Rattus norvegicus: one gene and its partner. Each later gene encodes a partner of the first gene's protein in a complex. Links are inferred from orthologs where the notes say so. Each region holds a gene or a part of one and is shown on either strand. Other genes may lie near its edges.

Region 1 (3,653 bases):
TGCTGTTGCTATTGGGGTGTGTTTCTTTCCTACTGTATATTCCTATTGGGTTTCTCGCCACCACACCACAGGGGCCTCAATCATGACAGTCCTCATGCCTCAGTACAGAAATTCAGAGCTACTACACCCTGGCTCAATCTTTTTGATTCAAAGAATTAAAAGAAAAAAATTCTGTTAAATATTTCATAATTTTATACATTTTTAAATGTTAGGAAATTTAGGTTCTCACCAAACATCTGCTTGTTTTTAAATCAAACATTCCCGCTCACAAAAAAAATACTTTATGAGGCTGGGGATTTAGCTCAGTGGTAGAGCGCTTACCTAGGAAGCGCAAGGCCCTGGGTTCTGTCCCCAACTCCGAAAAAAAGAACCAAAAAAAAAAAAAAAAAACCTTTATGTTGCTACTTAGAATATATCATCCTGGTATCTTCTGTGAATTTTAACTGTACTGTCTTTTTATTTTAAGTGTATGGGTGTTTGGTCCACATACTTGTACACCACATGCATGCCTGGCGTCACCAGAAGGGGGCATCAAATCCCCAAGAACTAGAGTTTCAGATGGTTTTGAGTTGCCCTGTGGGTACTCAAGAGTTGAGTGTGGGGCCTCGGGAAGAACAGCCAGTGTTTCTAAGAGCTGTCTTATTTATTTACTTATTTAAAATAAATGGGTGTTTTGTGAATTTGTGATGAAGGAAAAATGTGGTCTAAGAAAAATTCTCATATTCCTTTAATTTTACCCAGAGCTATCCAAAGCCAGAAGCACAAACTAGAAATTCCGTACCATCTACAGATTCTGAATCTTATCAAATACCCCTTCTATAATGCATATACACAGGAAAACACGGCACTTCAAAAACCACCAGATAAAACACATTAAGCAAAAACTGACATTAAGCCTAGAGAAAAAGGAGAAGAAAAAAACAAAAAACTTACCAGTTTAACAGCCTCTTGTGCTGCTTCTTTTGTACAAAAAGTGACAAAGGCATAACCTCTGTTGAGACCAGTAAGTGGATCCATCATTAAACGAAGATCCCATATAGGTCCAGCTTTCTCAAACAATGGAACAAGCTCATCTTCAAACAGATCTCTGGGGATCTTCCCCACAAATATCTGAAAATTAAATATGAATTCACAATCATGGACAATTCTTTAGAAACTAGAGCTGTATTTTTTTTTACTACAAATGGTGTAAGTTTAAGGTTCTTTACCTCAGTGCCAACAGAAGGCTGCTGACCTGAATAAACAGAATCTGGAGGTGGCCCCCCATACTTCCTCTGACCTGTAGTCACATCAAGAGTGTAGCCTGTTCTTTCCAAAAGTGCCTTTAAAAAGTTCAAAATGTTGTTAATGCTTCATTTAAAATACAGATTTTTAGTAATTAAGTCAATCCCATTCAAATATTACCAATCTTAGCAACATTGCTCCATACAAATGAGTAAGATCTGTTTTAGAATTCTCCCTTTTTACATAAAATATCCAATTAAAAAAAAACATTCTCCCTTTCATGTAACCTACAATCAAAATTTCAGAATCCTGTGCATATCATTGTTATTGGCCAATTAATTACTGAGCAATAAAAATTAAAATCGACCCACCAGCAACTTCTAAGATATATATATATATATTGAGTCTGCTAAGAGAAACCTCATTTAAAGCAGGCATGGCTTTAATCCCAGCACTCAATAAGCAGAGGCCATGGGATCTCTCTGAGTTCAAGGCCAGCCTGGTTTACAAAGACAGAGTTCCAGGACAGGGCTACACTGAGAAACTGGTCTCAAAACACAGACACATACCACATACACACTGGGGGGGCGGGGGGGGCGCACAAGTATACCTCATTAAAAATGCAACAATTTGATTACTATTGAACTCTGTATTTCTTACCCAATAAACTCTTAACCCACCCAAAGACACACAATACCATTTGTGGGCATTTTGTCACCTCCACCCCTTAAATCACGTCTATAAACTTGGAAGGCTATATGAAAAGCTTTTCTATTATTTGCTGTCAAAGTGTTGTGTACCACAAATAGCATGGCTCATTCAGAAGAAAAGCAGCCAAAATGATTTTGAAAAACAGTAAGAAACTACAATCATAGAACTTTTATCTCCCTCAACTTGTTAAAACTTATAACTCATTTTACTCAATTAGGGGTTTTTCTTCATCCGTTATTACAGGTAAAAGTGACAAAAAGGACATGTGTAACCTGTTTAGCCAAATAAGCCCAAAAGTCCGCTTCTGTATCAACGAGGAAAGTTCTCTAAGTAACAAAACTATTTTATTAACTAGTTAACAATTCAAAATAAGGACCATAAGATAAAACTTATCAAAATGTTAAGTCACCTCAATCTCCCAAAAATTTTTTTTTTACTCAAACAGCATTACATATGAAATTGTGGGAACGATGTATAGGATGCTTCCTTGATGTAATTTATCCCCCCCAAAAACCTGACTTATAAAAATATATCAATTTTAAAGGTATTCATAAACGTTTAACAAAGTTTCACAAAAAACTGTATGATCTAAATGGCTTTTTCATTACTCAAATTTACTCAAAGGTATAACTCTTATGAAGGAAGGGCTGGAGAAATGCCTCAGTGGTTAAAAGCATTGAGGCTCTAAGTTCAAATCCAAACACAACTCTTCAGAAATTAATAATTCCCCAATCGCACTGGCATAATTGCAATACAGACTATAAACCCCATTTTTATTGGGAACCTAAATTCAATTCGTTCACAATCCTTTGTAAAAACTCACACTGTTGACAAACAACATCATACTCCAATCTTGTCCACATGATCTAGGCTTCCTTTTCCAATAGAGGTATAATACCACACATTTATGCCCTTCTTAGCAACTGCTTTTCTTAAACCATAGCTCTTGCCTAAAGAAGTGGTACATTACTAAAATCTAAAAACTAATATAAACTATACTCTTTGAACTACACCTAACTCACCAAGAACACTACCTAAATGAGGCCATTTAATCTTCTAGGACCTTAAAAACAACCAACCTGCAACAAAAGAAACTTTCACTCCCAACCCATTGTCCTTGCTTACCAAACTTGGTTTTAGAAATAACTGTCCTTCATAACCCAATAAAAGAAACAATACTAAATTCTAAATTCATTGGGACCCTGCCCTCCTAAAGGGAAAAAAAAAGCAGCCAGCCAATCTGCTCCCAGTTTTGTTGATCAGTAATCTGTAAACATTTAGACTTAACCACCTCTTTAAATGTTTCTTACACTTTTGTAAGTGACAGCACACACAGGTTGGAACAGTAGTAGCCAGACAAACTGCAGTGATTTTCAAAAACCAAAAGTGGACACAGTCAATCTTTTTTTTCAAAGTGTACTCATTAGAAGACAATAACCTTAGAAATACACATGCGTGTGTGTGTGTGTGTGTGTGTGTGTGTGTGTGTGTGTGTGTGTGTGTGCGCGCGCGGCGCGCGCGCACTTCAGGAATAACCTTAGAAATATATGTACCCGGGCACACTTCAGGAACATTTGACAAAGCTCTTAAATAACTGGGAGGGTTGTAAAGCTGCAGAAAGTTTTAAAAGCATACCTTAATCTTCGCCTCATCTGGTCCTTTACTAGAGTCTGCTACTTTGGTCCCTTGTTTCTCTCTCTGCCTGTAAGTCTTCATGA
Region 2 (3,653 bases), on another chromosome or scaffold:
AAGGGGAGGTCTTAAGGTGCTCCAGCCCTTATTGAGCAGGACAAAATGATCTCACCACTTCTCCAATTCGATTCATCCCAAAAAGGGGTTGTGCTAAGGCTTAGTGGCAGGTCCCTTGTACCCCACCCTGAGTTCACCACCGCTGAGGAGGAAACCACTGAGAGACTTACGAGGAGATGGTGATCTTAGTCTCTGTATCCTGCTCCACTTTCTTCAAGTTCCGCCCTTCCTTTCCAATGAGTCGCCCCACGAAGTTATTATGAGCCAGGATCTTCAGGGGAACTTCGTCTGCCCTGGGAGGAAGTGGGGGACAGCCTGGTCAATGATGTCAACAAAGACCGAACTATGTTACCCAACTTACCCAACTATGCGAACCCAGAACAAACCCTGAGCCAAGCTGTCAAGATTACAAACCCAGCAGAGCTCAGTGTTGGACAGAGAAATGGGGGACAAGGACTGCAGTCTGAAATTCGGGAGCCACAGTTTTATTTATGTTTGTGATCACAGGCAACAGGTACATGGTCAACACATGCAAATGGAACGTCATATGACTGCACACTAAAAACTGTGCACACTTGGCTTGGGGACTTAGCTCAGTAGTACTGTTGTCTGTCCAGCATGAGGCCCAGGCTTCACCCCTAAGGTGAAGAAAGAAAGGACACACAATGTGCTGGCATTTGCCTTCCAGTCCCAGCTGCTTGGGCTGAAGCTGGAGGATCCAGGAATTCTAGGCTAACCTAGGCAATCCGCAAACAAGCACAGCATTATTATACTAGTTGAACCCTAAAAAGAAAAGCTGTCTTAAAAAACAACAACAAGGGCTGGAGAGATGGCTCAGCGGTTAAGAGCACCCGACTGCTCTTCCAGAGGTCCTGAGTTCAATTCCCAGCAACCACATGGTGGCTCACAGCCATCTGTAAAGAGTTCTGATGCCCTCTTCTGGTGTGTCTGAAGACAGCTACAGTGTACTTATATATAATAAATAAATAAATCTTTAAAAAAAAGAAATTAAAAATTAAAAGAATTAAAAAAAAAAAAAACAACAACAACAAAACCACTTAGACAGACATTACGGTGCACAGGAGGCAGAGAGGCAGGCAGAGCTCTGTGAGTTCAAGGCCAGCCTCAAATGGAGACACTTTGTCTCAAACAAAACTAAACAAAAAACAAGTGAAAAAGGAAAACAACTAAACTTAGTGTGATGATGCTTAATTATCAGCGGATTTAAGAACACCCATGAGCACAGCCTGTGGAAGACCCGCTCTTCTCAAAGATTGTGTGTGGGAGGTAGGGTGATGTGAAGTTGCCTGTGGAAGTCAGTCAGAAGATGAGGCATTGGATCGCTTGGAGCTTGAGTTTGTGAGACACCCAGTATGAAGATGGGTGAGATGTGAAGTTTGGTCCTAATAGGACAATATCTGCTCTTAACGGCTGAGCCATCTCTCCACCCCAAGCCAGTCTCAAGAAAATGAGTAGAAACGGAAGCCTGGTGAGGTGGTATAGCAGAGAGCAGGGTCACAGCAGTTCAGGGCTAACCAGGGTACAGGGATCCTACCTCAAATACCCCACCCTTCCACAGGACCCAGAACCAAATTATTGTAAGTGAATCCCCTGCACTGTTCTGCATTAGAGGGGCCCACAGTCAGGTCCTCACACATGCAGGCATCCACTGCATGCTACCATGCTATATTTCAAGCCCTCTGTCGCTTCCCTTTCTGTAGGAACTTTGTATTTACTGACCGAGGTGACCAAAGAGTTTATAAAAGGCATAGAGGGATTTCAGCCTGACCTCTGTGCTAACACATCTACCTGCATACTCCATTCACGAAGACCCTAATGCACACACACCCATATATATACATATACATATATGCATATACATAGACACAAATATAAACATCGAGTATATAAGATTTCTATACAATTATACAAGGATAAGAGCTTATCTGCCAACTCCTACGTTTGTGTACAGCCTGCGACTCTCTCTTAATCTGTTTCGCTGCTATTAACAAGTCTGAGGGTGGCCTGAGGGCGGCGCATGGTTCAGCAGCAAATTTCCTGCCTGGGAGGTGTAAAGCCCTGGCCTTCACTCTTGGTGCAGCCAAAAAAGAAAAACCAGAAAACGAAAGCTGTGCATCGCCGTCACGAGTGCAGCTGGGTCTTACGTCTTGGTGTCCTTTGCCTCCTTGTGCATAATCTCCAAGATCATCTTACAGGCCGAGGAGCAGCCTTCAGGGGTCGAGTGCACACTGATGGCCTTCTCCGCAGCCCCCGCGTTCTCCTTCCTGTGCACGTCTATCCTGAGCACCACAAGGAGAAAGCTGGTTAGTTGTCTCCAGTAACACCGGACTTCCCCATCTCTTGTCAATTAAAAGCCTAGCGTCCACTCTCCTTAGAATGGGGCCTGTCAAGTATAGAACCAGGAAACTCAAGAAGGGGCCTGGGAGCCACAGCCAGGTGTTGCTCTGCCCATCTCTAAAAGGACAATGCAGGCCACCTCACAGCTACTGGATGGGGATATTCCCCAGCTGTGTATGACTGTACAGTTATCTTTCTCCTTCCAGTGTCCTTTTTCAAACAATGTACTGGAAGACACACTGCCCCAACGACAAGTAAATAATCATGATTTACTGTGTATGTTAGGGATACGAGCTGAGCCGTTCTTCCCCATAACCACTGTTTATCTGTAACAACAGGAAAGCAGGTGGCCGTACTACAATGGGACATAATTACGACTTATGCCAAAGAACCCTGACCTTTTTTAAGCCAGGCTGTCCAGCTTGTGACCATCATGAAGTGGCTACTTATCCCAGAGTACCCGACCAGTGGCTAACTCCCAGCTCACAGGACTGAGTATCCTGGAGCACCCTGATATGAGCAACTCTTCCTTCTGGAGACAGTAAACCCAGACCCATCTGCCTCCTCATTTGCCCAACTCTTAACACAGAGGTAACACTGGCAACAGTGACCGTCCCTTGCAACATTCCAAGGACAAAAGTGCTGATGCCCAAACCATGTGCTTCCCGGAGCTGCCCCAGGCCCACCTCTTCCCTGCATCCACCTCCCTTTCCCAACACTCACTTGGACTGAGTCTGTTTTGTGATGTTTCGGATGGTGGCACCCTCCTTGCCAATGATGGCGCCTACATACTGCGTGGGCACCAGGAGCCGGAGAGGGATGTCCACCTGCTGCTGCTTGGCTGGCGCCCCTGCTGCTACCGGTGACCCCTGCCTGGGCTGGCCTCGAGACCCAAAGCCTCCACGGCGCCCATTCTCAGGACCTTGTGCTATCTGCTCATCAGGTATGTAGGAAACCTTCAGGGCATGGTTCTCCAGTTGATGGCCATTTAGCTTCATGATGGCTCTAGGAACAGGTAGTCCAATTGTCACTCCAACTCATGCCAACCATACCAAGTGCCGTCCTTACCCAAAAAGCACCTACTGAGTTACAGATGGGAACACACTGGGGATACTGTAGCTAACCTTCTGTCTACCACCCCTCCATCACTATGGAACTTTCTGGTCTGAGAGAGAAGACACGAACGGAAAAGTAACTGATACAGCAATGCCACTTGCTTCCTTGGCATTTATTGTTCATAAAAATCTTCCAATAAAAAATAATAAAAAAAATTTCCACCTAAGACCACTGGAAGA

Evidence for each region. Proteins that work in one complex are often made in the same cells at the same time.
Region 2: Syncrip (region 1) and Igf2bp1 share a complex: the UniProt entries of both Homo sapiens proteins name them as parts of the coding region determinant (CRD)-mediated complex. The link is inferred for Rattus norvegicus from reciprocal best matches to the Homo sapiens genes SYNCRIP and IGF2BP1.

Annotation. Positions count from the first base shown.
Region 1 is NC_086026.1:98,308,811-98,312,463, forward strand, and holds part of Syncrip (heterogeneous nuclear ribonucleoprotein Q), read right to left. Parts: coding exon 3,571-3,653; intron 1,323-3,570; coding exon 1,209-1,322; intron 1,111-1,208; coding exon 934-1,110; intron 924-933; exon of another isoform or gene 1-923. UniProt on the Homo sapiens protein: Heterogenous nuclear ribonucleoprotein (hnRNP) implicated in mRNA processing mechanisms. Component of the CRD-mediated complex that promotes MYC mRNA stability.
Region 2 is NC_086028.1:81,413,264-81,416,916, forward strand, and holds part of Igf2bp1 (insulin-like growth factor 2 mRNA-binding protein 1), read right to left. Parts: intron 3,364-3,653; coding exon 3,082-3,363; intron 2,301-3,081; coding exon 2,166-2,300; intron 294-2,165; coding exon 171-293; intron 1-170. UniProt on the Homo sapiens protein: RNA-binding factor that recruits target transcripts to cytoplasmic protein-RNA complexes (mRNPs). This transcript 'caging' into mRNPs allows mRNA transport and transient storage.